Linked DNA regions of Caenorhabditis elegans. The protein of the gene in region 2 purifies or fractionates together with the protein of the main gene of each other region. This does not show direct contact. Each region holds a gene or a part of one and is shown on either strand. Other genes may lie near its edges.

What was found. The genes of interacting proteins can lie anywhere in the genome.
Region 1: the proteins of T05C3.2 (region 2) and F01D5.10 fractionate together in Caenorhabditis elegans (co-fractionation; one large-scale study listed by BioGRID). This does not show direct contact.

What each region holds. Positions count from the first base shown.
Region 1 is NC_003280.10:14,015,736-14,024,349, forward strand, and holds F01D5.10 (Carbohydrate sulfotransferase), read right to left. Parts: upstream 5,596-8,614; 5' UTR 5,491-5,595; intron 5,224-5,490; 5' UTR 5,211-5,223; coding exon 4,952-5,210; intron 4,395-4,951; coding exon 4,318-4,394; intron 3,729-4,317; coding exon 3,586-3,728; intron 3,539-3,585; coding exon 3,401-3,538; intron 3,342-3,400; coding exon 3,204-3,341; intron 2,707-3,203; exon of another isoform or gene 2,618-2,706; intron 2,562-2,617; coding exon 2,404-2,561; intron 2,361-2,403; coding exon 2,230-2,360; 3' UTR 2,104-2,229; downstream 1-2,103. Other genes in the region: cyp-37A1 (CYtochrome P450 family), read right to left, coding at 268-367, 413-598, 647-765, 865-961, 1,144-1,224.
Region 2 is NC_003283.11:5,491,169-5,498,734, reverse strand, and holds the start of T05C3.2 (NACHT domain-containing protein), read right to left. Parts: upstream 4,989-7,566; coding exon 4,770-4,988; intron 4,726-4,769; coding exon 4,628-4,725; intron 4,584-4,627; coding exon 4,481-4,583; intron 4,264-4,480; coding exon 3,943-4,263; intron 3,893-3,942; coding exon 3,605-3,892; intron 3,434-3,604; coding exon 2,912-3,433; intron 2,725-2,911; coding exon 2,419-2,724; intron 2,376-2,418; coding exon 2,138-2,375; intron 2,082-2,137; coding exon 1,674-2,081; intron 1,629-1,673; coding exon 1,456-1,628; intron 1,408-1,455; coding exon 1,277-1,407; intron 1,016-1,276; coding exon 926-1,015; intron 878-925; coding exon 690-877; intron 643-689; coding exon 458-642; intron 198-457; coding exon 84-197; intron 35-83; coding exon 1-34. Other genes in the region: T05C3.6 (PLD phosphodiesterase domain-containing protein), read right to left, coding at 5,145-5,341, 5,892-6,020, 6,063-6,375, 6,424-6,721, 6,767-6,927, 7,452-7,555.

The sequences.
Region 1 (8,614 bases), on a different chromosome or scaffold from region 2:
GGTACCGTAGGGATACTGTAGGGGGACTGTGGAGGGGACTATAGGTTTACTGTAGAAGTACTTTAGGGGTATTGTATAGGTACCGTTGGGAGGGATACTGTAGGGGTATTGTATGAGGTACTGTTGGGTCTGCAGAATTAGTGCAAAATTACTGGAGTGATACTGTAGAGATACACACTACATGGGAACTGTAGGAGTACTGTCGTTTTTTGGCGAGAGTACCGTAGGGGTACTGTAGGGGTACTGTACTAATACTGTACTACTTACCACAAATAATATCCAAAGCACATCTCTTAATGTAAGGGAATGCGTCAATTGTGCTATCATCAGTTTTCTTGGCGGCATTTTCGATTTGTTCTAGCAAAATCTGAAAATCCCAATTTGCAAACTCCTGCTTTTCGGTATAACATACCATGCTTTGACTATTGAAAACCACTTGAAAATCGATAAGAACATTGAAATGAAACGATGGGGTCATCATCTTTCGCCGACCTCTCCATTTCTCACCGCTCGCCAGGAGAAGCCCCGTTCCGAGCCACGGAAGGAAAATGTCATATTCACTACTCTTGTTGATCAGGGCATTGCTTTCGAGAACTTTCTGAAAAATGTGAAAATTTTGTGCGCCCGACATATTACGGGTTTGTACCTTATTAGCTTCAGGTGTCAAAACGATGACCATTGGGTATGGTCCCATCCAGAAAGCAGCTAAGGATGAGCCTTTTGTGGAGTACTCCAATCCCCAGTTGTAGAGTTGAAGCGCGAATTCTGGAAATTTGTTTTTAAAACATTTTTTTTTGTTTCGGTGATTCAAATTCTAGAATAAAATTCTGTAGTTTTTTGAACAAATTTAAAAAAAAACCTCACCAACTGGATCCATTTTGAACTGAAAAGTTGTGCCTAGCAGGGGTAAAGCCAGAGGACCATCGATTTTGGACATAAGATGGTAGAGCCGCATTCTTTCCTGAAAAAAATGTTTATTACGGTTTTTATACATACTTTTAAGGATATTTTTGAAATTTCGATCTTTGAAAAAGTGGAAAAAAATTTTTGGATATTTTTCAAAAAAAAATTTCTTTTGGAAATTTTTGAAATTTTTTGAATTTTTTTTTTCAAATTTATGTTCTTTAATAAGAATGTACTTACCTTCACAAATTTCAAAATTTTACTCAAATTAAACACAACATATATTACCACCAAAGCAAGGAGGTACACAGCGATCCCCATTTTTTTCTGAAAATTTTAAAATTATATTTAAAAATTAAAATTAACCATATAATATAACAGTGAAATTGAAGAGTTTTTATGTTAAAATATTCAAAAAGTTAAAAAAAAAAAACTAAATAAATTTTTTGGAAAAAATCTGAAAAAAATTTCAAAAAAATTTTATTTCATTTTTTTTAATTAAAAACTGAAATTTTCATACTGAAAAAATTTTGTTTTTTTCAACTACACTCAAAATACTGAACCTCTGTGAATTAATGCATATCAAAAAATTTCCTTAAAAACGGAAAAAAAGTGTAGTATAGTGGTAATTTAATAGAGAAAAATGTGCACATGTCAACTGATAATATCAGTTGATTTTCAAACTGATTCCTTATTTTGTTTGGCTAGACACTTGGCTACAGTACTGGGAGGAGCATTTTGCTCCGTGAGCATTTTTGATCTACGATTTTAAAAAATTTAGAAATATCTAGTTTGGCCATTAATTTTTAACTAATTGTAGTACTTGAAATTGTCTATTAGTTGATTTTAAAAAAATTTGAAAATTAGCAAAGTGCTAAAAATTGAATTTTAAAAAACTACAACAGTCTCAAGTAGCTGGGGTTTTAACAAAAATTTCAAAATTTTGCATTAGAGCGCATTTGCTAAACCTCAAAAATGAACAAAATTACAGTAATTTAAAATTTCTACATCATTAAAAAACCTCCGCAAAAAATTCTGCAAAAATGTTGATCTTCTGCAAAACCGTGTTGCACTTTAGAATAGTAAACCTGAACTATTTGTAAAAATCAAATTCCCAAACGTTTTGAAAAAGCCCACACAGCACAACACAAACATTGATAGTGATTATGTCATTTTTGATAAGAAATAAACCTTAAAATTCAAAATTCGAATCATTTATTGAGGAAAAGCACCAGAAATCGATGGAACAACAACGCAAAAAGTATGGAAATGGGGAACCCGTGAAATGTCAGCTGCTTTTGGTTTTTTTTTTTTTTGAGAACTTGTTTAAAATGGGTATCCAAACACGATAAAGTCGTGTTCGTACAGATAACGGAATAGTCGGTAAAGATCGTCATGATCTCGTTTTATGGCTACGGCGAGCTCACGTTCGTCCGGTGAGAGCTCCAGGGGAATTTCTGAAAATCAGGATTTTCGGACGCTTCAGACTAAAAAACCTACTCAAAACTTCCTCCTTAATAATCCGCTGAACCTCTTGAGCAACTCCCTGCTCCCCAAGGATTTCATTCAGGTTATCGGAGAACTCCGCCCGTTCAGTTTGATTCCCGCCAATCTTCACTGTACGAATCTTTTGAAACTCCCGATTGAAATGGCAATTCCTGGAAATAATAAACACACTTTGCTAAAAAGCTAACTTCCAAAATTTATTATTAAAACGTCCTCAGACAGCCAAGGTGTCTCGACATATTGGCATTCGGTAATATTTTAGCGAAACCTGTCCTGTTTTCATCCTCACCAGACGTGATTAAAGAAAGAAGGCTCGCGAACGTAATAAACCGACGCGGCGGACAACTTGCGGGTTCCGCGGCGCGCTATGTTTTACGTGGACGCTGCGGGGAGAGAGCGTGTGGTAGGAGGAAACGCAGCGTGGGGGAGGTGATTTAAAGGGGAAATTGCATTTATTGATGTTAAAAATGTGGTTTTTTGGTATTTTCAGTACAAATTTTGGTTTTTTATTGGCATAAAAAGTGAGAATAAAACCTTTTTGGACGGGAAACAATAAAAAATTACGAATTTTTGATGAAATTTTAGTAGTTTTTCTCCAAAAGTGCACTAATATTTTACTTTTTCTTTAAATTTAAAATATTTTACATATTTTTTGAACGTTTCTCTTCATTTTCCAGCTATTTTTCTAATCTTTCAACTTAAAAATCGATTTTAAAGCCAATTTTCCAAATTTTCAGCTAATTTGCAATGGAGCGCGCTTGCATTCCCGACTTTTTTCAAAATACCGTACTTACCAAGTCTGAGGGCTGAAATGATTTGTGATAAACGTCCTGACTGGTCCTGCAAGCCCCTCCGCTGTTTTTTCGTGCTGCTTCAACAATTTCCGCATGAAGCAACTGAGATTGTCCTGGCAGTTGAAGCATTTTCGCTCACTGCAAAAAAAAAATCGATAATTATTGATTTTTTTTTCGTAAAAATCAATAAAACTCACATTTTACACAACTTCTTATATGACCTAACAAATCGTTCCAACGGATGCTGAATAAATACAATCCTTCGAAAATCGTCATTAATTTTATCCCACAGCTTCCAGTCGTTCATATTGAATTCAGCGATTTTGGAGCATAATCTGAATCTCTAATTGTAGAGCACCTAGATAACTTATAAAATTCTTACCCAGTTTCTCCAATATCCTGAGAAATTGTCTTATTCGCCGAAGTGTATAGCGTTGAATTGTACAAATAGCAAAATATGGCTGTATTCATTTCGGGAAAGTTTCCGTTTATGGTGCATCCCGATAGTTTGTACTTTGGGACAAACTGAAAATTTAATTTGAAAATTTTGGAATATTTTGTCAGTTGACAAATTTTTGTTACCTTTAATCTCCGCCGAGATATGCGCATTTAAAGTATTTCGGTCAGCAGAGCGGTAGCGGGGTGTCAGTGGGCGGTAGCGGGCGGTAGCGGGGGTGCCAGTGGGCGGTAGCGGAGCTATAGCGGGGCGGTAGCGGGCGGTAGCGGGGTGTCAGTGGGCGGTAGCGGGGTGTCAGTGGGCGGTAGCGGGGTGTCAGTGGGCGGTAGCGGGCGGTAGCGGGGTGCCAGTGGGCGGTAGCGGGGCTGTAACGGGGCGGTAGCGGGCGGTAGCGGGGTGTCAGTGGGCGGTAGCGGGGTGTCAGTGGGCGGTAGCGGGGCGGTAGCGGGGCGGTAGCGGGGCGGTAGCGGGGCGGTAGCGGGGCTGTAGCGGGGCGGTAGCGGGGTGTCAGTGGGCGGTAGCGGGGCGGTAGCGGGGCGGTAGCGGGGCGGTAGCGGGGCGGTAGCGGGGCGATAGCGGGGCGGTAGCGGGGCGATAGCGGGGCGGTAGCGGGGGCGGTAGCGGGCGACTTTTGTCCAATGTTTATCTGCGCCTTACCTTCTCAGCCCGATACCCCTGCGCAAATGGTGGCAGGGATTTGATGAGGTCCGACATCCAGGCGACTCGAGGTCTGTCTGAAAAAATTGATTTTTTTTTTTGCAATTTTGTCCCCGGTTTTGTTTGTAGTGTTTCTGTGGTTTGGTGATCAAAAATTTTAAACCGTAAAAGGGAGAGGGAAATTAGGAAATTTCAGCTAATTTGAGAAAATTTCGATTTCGCCTAATACGGGCTTGATCAATCATCAGGAATTTGTTTCGAGGAGGTTAGCATAAATTGATTATAGTACTTGTGACAGGGTTACTGTAGTGGTACTGTACTTGGGATTACTATATAGGGTTACTGTAGGAGTACTGTAGTTACTAGTGTTTGCTAGGCACAATTACTGTACAATGAATGTGGGCGTACTGTACTAGGGTTTACCTTACGGGGTTGCTGTAGGAGTACTGAGTATTACTGTATAGGGTTACCGTAGGAGTACTGTTGCTGACTAATGTACTCGGGATTACTACACTAGGTTTACTGTATGGGTATTGTAAAAGTACTATAGTTGACAACTGTACTAAGGTTTACTGCATAGGGTTACTATAGGAGTACTGTAGTTGACACTATTAATTTAAACCAAACAACTCACACCTATCAGTAACCACAGATGGTTGCAGTTGAGCTTGCGGCGGATTCTTCCATTGTGAATATGCGAACCACATGAGCCCGACTGTGATGACAAATGGTACCAATAAATATGCGTGGTTCGAACGTCGAGGTGGCTGCACGTGCTGTAAGGTTGAGGACATCCTCTTGTACTGTGTTGGGAGCTCCCCGACTGGAGGTGGTGGAGGTGTTGTTGGGAGCGGCGGAGGTTTTTGGCACTCGTGTTTGTGCTTTTTTACCATTTTGATAGGTATCCTTAAAGAAAATAGGATTACTGTAAGATTACTGTAGGTGCCCCGTAGGGGTACTGCAGGGTTACTGTAAGAGTATTGTATGGTTACTGTAGAAGTAATGTATATGGTTAGTGTATGGGTAATGTAGGATTACTGTAGGAGTCATGTAGAACTAATGTAGGAGTAATTCAGAACTACTGTAAGAGTATTGTAGGATTATTGTGAGAATACTGTAAGATTACTGTGAGGGTACTGTAAGATTACTGTAAGAAAACTGGAGGATTATTACCGGTACAGAGAGTGTAGATAGTTAGAGAGTGACAGACATCCGGGACCCAATGGGGCGGGGCGCGCGGAAGAGACGATTTGTCTCGATTTACGAAATGATGACAATGAGGAAAAGTTCGTAAATCGACACAAATCGTCTCTTCCGCGCGCCCCGCCCCATTGGGTCCCGGATGTCTGTCACTCTCTAACTATCTACACTCTCTGTACCGGTAATACTGTAGGAGTACTGTATGGTTACTGTGGAAATAGTGTAGGGTTACTGTAGCAGTTCTGCATGGTTAGTGTTGGGGTACTGTATGATTACTGTAAGAGAATTGGAAGATTACTGTAGGGGTATTGTTGAAGTACAATGGAACTTTGAGGGAAGGAGTACTGTTAGGGATTCTCAGCACGCAGAATACATAGTTTCAAACTAGCGAGCTTTCAAAGTTACACAGTAAGCGATAGGTGGAAGCGAAATTTACATCTTTCCAAAAAAAATGCATGGGCGCAAAAACGAATGACGAAGATCACAAAGGTGACGATTTTCAAATAGATAAGACTGGCTAAAAGTCAGGAATTTACAGGCAGATGTCTGAGATGAGAAAATGTGGAAATTTTTGAAAATCGAGAAAACAAAAATATTGGAAAAAGGCAGGAATTTCAGATACCCGGGGATTTAAACAGAAAATTGTAAATTTTTTGGAAAAGCCAAGTGGCGTATCAAATCGCTAATCATTGGGCCTTATGACAAGGATAAAAAGAAGTTGGTGATTATGTGGAGATGATCAGAGGCAGAAATATTATACCTACTTCATGCCTGCGCACCTGCCTACCACCTATTTTCTAAATTATGGCGTCAACTGTACATATAGAATAATTTGAAGTATACAGAAATAAAGGCAAGACTTTGGTAGTAGGCAGGCGTGAGGGCTTGAGGCAAGTATAGGTTGCTTTTCAAGCATGTTAACAGACAGTCAGGTAGGTAGGCAGGACCCCCCCCCCCCCCCCCCACCGCATCAGAAAAACAGAACCATAAAACTACTCCCCTGACAATGTGTAGTTAATGTGTAGGGTATTACGTAAAACGTCTAGGTGTTTCAAGTTTTTTGCCAATTCGCTCTCCCTCTTTTTTTTTATTCTGCGCATCATTTTTGGTGTGTGTGTGTGTTTGTCTAAATCTCTTCTCAATTTCCCATATTTTTTGCGGGGGTTCGGCAGCGGCGGCGGTGAATAAGGAAAAGCTGTAGGTCTGTGTTTGATTGCGCGTTTTGGTGGATTTGCCAAGGACTATTGGGTTTCGGTTAGGGAGGGAAATGAAGCTGGAGGAGAATTTTTCTGGGGATTTATGCAACTTAAAATTGGGAAAGCTTGGCGTTCGGAAAATGTATCCAAAAAAAAGTAATGACGGTTCAAAATTTTGAAAAACAATACCAATTTTCAGCTGAAATTTCAAATTTTGTCTCGAACTTTTCAAAAAATTCCAACAACTGCCAAAAAACTTACCAACTATCTGACTAACTATAGTCGTTTGAAAAGTAAAATATTTGCCGGAAATTTTTGAAATATTTCTGGAAAATGACAAAAGTTGCCGAGAGGTTTGAAAAAAGCAACGAAAAATGATAAAATTATTTTAAAATTTCCGAAAAATTTCCGCTATGACTCGGCGTTTGCCGCCAGCTTCCTACCCAAGGCTTCGCAACTTCTTACCCAAGCCTTGCCCAAAAAATAAAAACATTTATAAGGAGTTGCCAAGACTTGGGTAAACCTTGGGCAAAAGTTGGGCGCCGCCTCAAAAATGAAAAAAGTCGTCGACTGCCTCGTCGTCCCGAGGCGTCGCCCTAGTCTTACCCAAGTCTTACCCAAGTTTTGCCTATTCCTTACCCAATTTATACCTGTGTGTTGAACTTTGATCTCATTTCCCGTTGTGCCGAAGTCTTACCTGCTGAGCCATGATGGTCGCGCGAAAAGATGCACACTATCGTACTCATATTCTGATAGATATTTTTGAGGAAGTACCAGACATATCGGATTGATACGGTATTCTCACATACCTTATTTCATTTGTTTTCAAGTGTGCTCCCTAATGATCCTAAGTACAGAATTTACAGAATTACTGTAATTCATGTTTGTTTCTTGTCTTTCAATTTTTTAAAAGTTTACATTTCAAAGAAACAGTTCGGTTTTAGAAAAATTCAAAATTTGATGCATTGGTATGACTGACTATTATTTGACTATTGGACTGACTAGGAGAAGAATTATCCTGAAGATAACTTTTATTTTTATTTTTAGATAAATTACACGGTTTATTAGACAAAATGGCAATAAAAAGCAAACTTTGTTCGTACATTTTTTAACAATGTTAGCCATCAGAGAAAAATATTGAGAATTTGCCTTTGAAGGGACAAGTTTTCTTGTGAATTCTTTCAATTACATCGAAATTCCTCTGTTTTAGATACAAATTACTCAAAAGACAAAATCTCGATTTACGCTAAACATTGCGCGTGCGGGATTTCGGAATCTTGTTCGTTCTTTACATCTGCAAACTTGGGTAAGAAGTTGGCAAGACTTGGCTAAGACTTGGGCAAGACACGGGCGAGGGAGTTTACGCTAGAATTGTTGAAGTTGGGTAAGACTTGGCCGTACTCTGGGTTAGAAGTTGGCAAGAGTTGGTTAAGAAGCTGAAAAGGCCCAAACTTGGGGAAGAAGCTGTCGGGAATTGCCGAGGATATATTGCCAAATTTTAAAACCTTCGCCAAAGTCTGCAAATTGTAGGACTTAGGCGTAGGCTTAGGCTTAGGCTTAGGTTCAGATTTAGACTTATATTAGGCTTAGGTTTAGGCTTAGGCTTAGGCTTAGGCTTGGCGTCAGTGGGGGAGCGTCAGCTTTTAGGGTTAGGATTACAGCGTTTTTTTCATTTTTCAAAGGGTTCCCGTTGGCCGATCAAAGCGAAATTTTACACAGAGGCGTATAGACCACCAAGAAGCTTTCGTGTAAAATTTCAAATTGATTCCATTAAAACTCGCCGAGTTATGGAGCTTAAGGTGTTTTCAAAATGACCCTCAACTGTTTTTTAAAATTTGAAAGTTTGGCGTTTTGTCAGTTTTCTCCCTAAGCTCACGAAAATTTAATGACAGCAGGAAGGT
Region 2 (7,566 bases):
TCAAGGCATCCCGGTAGAATATGTGAACAATGTTCTGAAAATTATTTGATTAGATGTTAACTTTCATTTTTGTGATCATCTACATTATGTTCTCCTTCACTTTCAGATCCTTGGCTCACAAGATTCCCATTAACTGTGTAGATCATGTAATGGGATTTGGACCACATTAACACATTATTGTTGCCAACGAATCGAATCTAAAAAACTTTTCCAATTGTAAATCAAAAAAGTTACCGTATTTTCTCTATTGCACCCTATTTTTAAACTTTGACAGCTTATGGCTAAGTTCTCGTTTGTTCTATTAAAAAATTGTTAACTAACTAAATATTTGTTAGTTCTCTTTCTATTTTGTTGTTAAATTGTTATTTATTGTTAATTAATTTGAAACAAACTGACTATGAGATATTCCCTTTTAAAGTAAAGCAGTCTGGTGCAATACTAATTAGTTTTATCTTACCGCTTGTAGTTCCATCTGTGTCACGAATGGTTCTGGATCAATTGCAGTAAATTCCCCCGTAACTAATGAAGCAACAATAACTTGATTGTTATTTGTGTAGGCAGCGGCAAATTTATCATTTTCTGATACAGCCAGTCCGAAGAAGACTCCATCGATATTTGGATTAACAACTCGAGCAATATCTCCTGCGAATTCAAGTTCTTAAGTTTTTTCTCAACTGTTATAAAAGTACCTGTAGACACATCCCAGACAATAATCTGAGTTGATGTTGATACCAGAAGCTTCCGATCAGAGGTCAATTGCATTCCAAAAACAGCAAACTGATGTTCTTCTAGCGAAAACTTGAGAGGGCCTCCCGGGGCGTGGAAACAATGGTGAGCCGGTACAAACGAATTGTGTTGGGGACCTTCTTTGTCACATCTGGATAATAATTTTTATTTTTTTAAAAATTTTTTGAACTAGTATTACTTGATAAGGAGCTTGCTGACGTATTTGTTAGTGGCGACAAGAGGTAGAAGTCGTCCAAGAAGCTCGAAGGCTAGCATGGACGGGTTGCGGCTGGAATATTATACGTTGGGTGTTATTACTCAGATGTCAAATTTTGAATACGGTACACGGTCTCGACACGACAAAATTTTTTGTTGACTACAAGAAGTGAGCCTTTAATGAGTATTGTACTGTCAAACTACTGCTGCTGCTGCTGAATATTCATCGATTTTTCATTGATTTTCTCTAGATTTGACAGAATTAAAGTTTTTAAAAATTATTTTTCTTAAGTTTCAATATGTATAAATATACAGTTCCCCTAAAAAGGCCCACCTCAATATACTCGCTGAAAGTCTTAAAGCGTCTACTGCGAGAGAAAGTTGACGAGATATCTCGACATCTCGAACATTTTGAATAGCATCTTCATAATCGGCAATAAGAGATTGCAATGGAAAACTTGATACCTGGAATCGAAATTTCAACTTTAATCTCTATCATGATTTTTCAGCAACCTTTGCATGCAAAAACTCGTAATCAAAAAGACAGAGTGTCAACAGTTCATCGACTCTTCCGGATCTCAGAAGGTGATACGGTAGTTCGTTCAATTTTCTTGTGTTGTACCTATGGTTTCCATCTTTCGAAGAAAATACATTCGGCTGTTTCGGTACTTTTCTGTCAGCCAGTCCTGGAAATTTATGCTAGACAATCAGGAAAGCGAGCTCGAGTTAACCTTCATTTTCAGTGACTCCAAATCTTTGTTTCTGCATTTCAGTGTATTGATAAGGCTTTGGTACTCCACCCCATACTCCAAGAAAATATTCCGCCATTGCAGAATGACAAGTCTCCAAATGGTTCACATTTTTGAAATATCTTTCAATCGCAACTTGTCGGAACTGTTGATGGTACCAATTTAGAACAATGACTCCATCAGCAGCTCTTTCCGATAGGTAACCAGGAAGGTCGGATCTGATACGACTCCATAACAAAGGTGGAATCCTTCTCACCGGGGGAAGATGGTATTGAAAAATATCATCGAGTACTTTGTCGTCGAGAGAGATCAAATCCTCTACTTCAGAGTCACTGATTCCAGAGCGAGCAGCAGAAATGTAGGATAAAGCATGGGATACGAGTAGTTTTCCTGAAAAAAAGTTTGAATGAAGCTCCGACAGAACAAGTTTTTAAACTATAGTTTACCATGCTGACTCTCGGTTCTATGAAATAAAACGTTGATACTTTCTTGTAACGATGAGAAAAGTATCGTCTCTTGCGGTCGAGAGTATGACTTCCATCTTGCTACAGTTGCATAAATTAATTTCACAAAAAGAGGCAATGTACATTTATCAAGTGCCTTAGATACCGTATTCCATTGTCTTTCAGAAAGTGTACGGCCTTTGTCAGACAACCATTCTCGAACAACTTGAAATCCAAGATCCTGAAATTAATCATGAATATCTGAAAATTGGCATGCCAAATACTTTTCCCAAACTTGGAACCATCAGATACTGTCTTTTGTCTTCAATTAGTCGTTGCATTTTCGAGTAAATCAGACTTCCACCCGGCGTGAGGGATGCGAATAATTTGACAAATGGAGGTAAAGAAGGGGGAAACCAAAGAAGTTCATGAGCTCCATCGATTCTTGATAAAAGATCAAGACTGTCAAAAATTATTACTAGTGGTTTTTCGCGAGTGGCAAGGTTGGTTATCTTTTTGAAATGTTGGAAGAGTTTTGATAACTCAGTTGGGGAAGAATTTTTGAGCGATTCGTCGTAGTTTGATGCAATCTGGAAAATGATAAGCTTAAAATAATTATGAAGGTGGAGTATCGTCAGAGGGGGATTATTAAAAACTGCTCCTTTAGGGCTGAAATGCCCAATTCTTTTTTTGGGTGTTTTAGTATGATATTAGGCCATGTTAGACTATTTTATGTGTCTTTTTCCTTTTTAGAATAATACTAATAATTGTTTTTACCTGATCACAGACACTTGTGAGGAGTGGGGCAATATTTGAACTATCCGGACTCGTCCCCAAGAATCTCAATAGAACCACTGGCTCGCAGGAATTATCATACCATTCCCTGATCTTAGTTGCAATTTTAGCCATCAGAGATGTCTTCCCACACCCATTTTCTCCTTGAAGAATAATAGGAAGTGTTGAATTCCCGAGAACATATTGTTTGGCACAATCCAGTTGTTCATTTCTTCCGAAAAACATATTGGAGACGGTGATTCCAGTTGTTAAATGGGTTAGGACTTCTGTGAATAGTTGATCTCGAAACCTCGCGTGCTTTTCCATTGCGTTATCGACCATTGAGGTGATACTTTTATAAAAGTCCGTACAAAATTGACGAATGTATTCAGCGTGATATTGAACGTCGATTCCATCTCTTCCAACCCATTCCACAGTTGATCGTCTGATATTTTGCATTGCCAACTTGGCAGGGACTCTTTCATCACGAAGATTTGCAAGGAGTTTTTGAGCTTCAGAGTTTACCTATAAACATATTAAGAGTTCACTGAAACTTTGTACCAATACTTGATTCGTTGCTGGCTTTGAACTGTTTTAATGAAGTTGATCAAAAAATTTTCGAAAAAAATACAACATCTGCCATCTGGCGCGTCTGTTTCTGACCAGAATATTTTGACCGACACTGTGAAAACTTACATGATTGTGTGCAATATCCACAAATTTGGAAGCTGTCTTCATTTGTGACAAAGCAATATTGTTGATGTGTCGAATGTAACACAAACAATGCTCATTCGGATTTTTAACTTTTAATATTCCGTGCACAACTTCTCTTTCCGTCACAGACATGAAATAATTATGCATTGCTTCACGATCTAAAAATCCTTTCTCATAACAACTTCTTGCGCCCTTTCTCAACAGTTGCTGCATTTTCGCTTCACACTCCCACCACTGCTTTGCATCTTGTTCTTGAAGTTTTGGAATTCTCTGAAATCAATAAAATCTTCATATTTGGTCTACATATCAAACTTCTTTACCTTGTTATTAAAGTTTACTAGAATACTACTAATTTGCTGTAGAACAAACATAGGCGGAACAGAGTTCGAGTCTTCAATATACCAATTGTCTAATAGTGAAATGTCTTCATGCTCCTCTCGTAAAGTTCTCTTCAGCATTTCTAGTTCTGTAGAAAGGATTTCTGACGGAATAGGTCGGTATCCATATTTTTGGCAAAGAAAAACCACAAAATTGGCGCCAACTGAAAGTCGTTGACAGTTGGCAATTTCAGACAAGCAAAGTTTAGTGGTCATATGATCGTCGGTTGATTCGTCTCGGACTCCCCATCTCATATCGACAACCTGAAATTTCGTGGTTTTTCAGATCTTCTGAGTTTTAAGCCTTCAGAACTACGGGACTTCAAACCTTCAGAACTACTGAGCTTCAAACCTACATACAGAACTTCGGGACTTCAGAATTACCGGACTTTCACTCTTTACAGCTATCGGGCTTCAAGTAGACAAAATTTCCGGGTTTCAAGCCATCGGAAAAACTTTCATAAAAATCCAAAAAAAAAACCTGAAAATCCAGACCATAAGTCTCACGGCAGTATTCCTTAAGCTTTGGATAAATCTCCTCCATTAGCGCGTTTCGTTCTACAGTTGTATCGGTGAACGTAGAGCTGAATACCTTATCAATTACCATAGTTGATCTCTATTCATTTACCTTGTAAAAACTCTGACAAGTTTGCTCTGAGGCTTTGGAATATTACTGAGCTTTCCGGAAAAAACTCGATCAAAAATTTCCTGAGTGTACGGATCTCGCTGAAATTTTATGAAATTCCTGAACAGTGTTGTTCTAAACTCACCCTTTCAACAACTTGCTTTTGTTCATTATTTTGACTAAGAAGCATGTCCAAACCAGTTGTACTTCTAGAATTTCCATTTTCTTTTTTCTGCAGGTGATTAGGAATTAAGAATTTAGATTCAATACTACTTTTCTTGCTGCTTCTTGTCAACTGAGATGTTGACGTGGATTTGGATCTTTTCTTATGAACATCTGATCTTGAAATTGAAGATGAATACATAAAATTTGAAAATGTGAACAAAATTTTCCAACTCAGACATCCCGACACTTTAGAACTTCCGGGCTTCCGGACTACAAATTAAGACACGCTTCGGAAATTTCACAGATGAACGATTTATTGGCATTTGTGAGCAGAAGGAGAGGTGAAAGAGTAAGCTCAATAGAAATTACTAGTCCTATTACCGGATATTGTAAAATTTTTCAAAGGAATTGTGTAAGTTGAGGACCAATCTCTTTCGAACACGGAAGTGAATTGTTGAACGAGTTTGGATTTGGAAGTGAAATCATCCGCACGGATCACTATTCCGATACCGGCTGTATACTGCCAATAGTCTGATGACCAATTTGATGTTCCTGAAAATGTTAAATTGATTCTATTAAAGATAAATTTTACATTCTACGGGTGCCCGGGGGTGTTAACAAGTTTAGTGGTGGGCGACAATTGCCGTTCTGCAAATTCAGCCAATCAGCAAAATAGCCGGTTTTTTTGGCTGCCGAAATGTTTTTTTTTTGAATTTGAAAGAAATTTCGAAGTTTGCCGAAAATCAATTTCACGAAATTTTTAAAGAGCAAATTACATGCAGCTGCATATTTTTGTCTAATTTCCTTCCTTATTTCAGGAAAATGTAGAAAATGGTTTCGATTCAGAAATTTATAATTCAAACTTTGATATTTCCAGAAAATTCAGAAAACCATAATTAGAGGGTTTTTTTTTGGCAAATTTGTCAAATTGGCAAATTGTCGGTTTGCCGAGTTTGCAAAATTAAAAAAAAAACGGCGATTTGCCGGATTTGTTGCTGAAGCAGCCGATAAATTTTTGGTATTTTTCGGCAACCAGTTTATGTTAGTTGCTGGTTGAGGCGGGCGGGCATGAGTTTGTTAAAAATTATTCAATAAAACTCACCAATATATGCGGCACTTTCCGTTACAAAATACTTATTATGATAAACTCTTGCGTATGGAATCTTTCCATATTGCATTTCAGGAACCTGCACAAATCTTATCTCGATTGATCCCTTCTTTATACATTTGTCTGAAATTTTTTCCCCATTATTCCAGAATGAGTTATTCTCACCGTTAGAGTCCCATTTGTAGCATGGCAGATGATCTGAAATATCTTGCAGAGAATATAGAATACCGTAGACATCTGAGTAAGTATGTGGCCATAATGAAACCATGAATCGAACATGAACTGCTCTTTCAAAGGCTGCTCTTCTGATAGCATTATCCAGCTCGGGTTTCCATTTATTCGCATTTTTCAAGTACAAAGTTGAAGGCGAATAGTCCATTACTGCCATATATAAATATTCTTGAGCTTCATCAATAGTTTTTATCATTGAAGTCAAATCATCTTCTCTTCCACACGCTTGGAATCCTGGAGGAGATGCCTTAAATTTCAATATTTTAGAAAACTATTTCAGAAATATGAAACTCACTGAAATATACATAGCCTGACTACCTGTTGGCTGAAAAACGCTCATTGGACTTTGATGGTTTGCTGGAGTTGACAGACTATTATCCCATTGTTTTGGGATCGTTGCTCCAGGAGCTCCCATATTCCAATAAATTTCTAACAAATTCTTCAAGTCATTAGCCAAACACGGACAATTAAATGCGGCAACCCCAAGTTCTTTGACATTGGTAAGTGATCTCCAGTCAAAGTTTGCGGATCCAATGTAAAAGTGTTTTCCATCAATTGCCCATGATTTCGTGTGGAGAATACCTCCGATATACCTGAAAAATTGCAGTTATAGAGCTGTTTCATAAAAACTAATCTACCAATTTCTAAAATCCAAGCTCCTAACGCGAATTCTACCATTGGAATTTTTAACTAAATCGTCGGTTTCCGGGTAACCACCAGCTTCATATGTTTGGGCAATTCTTACAGAAATATTTCGATTAACAGCAGTTGAGAGAAGTGTGTTGTAGATTTGAGCTCCCTAATAAAAATTCCTATGGAATTTGAATTGATTTAATTTTAGAATTGTAGCAATCAAAAAAGTTGAAGTTTTTTGCAGTTTGCTAGAAAATTTCTAACTTAAACATCCCACTTATTGAACTAACGCAATAGAACTTTGATAACAGTTACCGTATTTCCTCTATTAGTATTGCACCCCATTGTTCAACTTTGGCAGCTTATATCTCAATTATTGTCTGTCCTATTTAAAAAGTGTCAACTAACTAAATATTTGTTAGTTCTTTTTCTATAATTTCGTAGTTAATAATATATTGATATCTTAAAGATGAACAAAGATATAACGTTTCAACGTTAAGTAGTCGGGTGCAATACGATATTCTGTTTTAAGACTGTTTTAATTGTAAACTCGGAGTAAACTCAAAATATCCTTTTCCTGGAAAAATAAATCCAAACTGTCAAAAAAATTCATTAAAAAAAATATATATATACTTTCAGACCATCTTCTAAATTAGCTGAAAATTTATTCAAATCCGAATAAAAACCCACATTCCAACTGGTATTCGTATCATCTGTCGTATAACCATCTCCGGTGTCTTTCACTAACAAACTCCAATAGTAGCTGCCAATAAGAATTTCTTCTTTTGCTTCACCTATAACATTT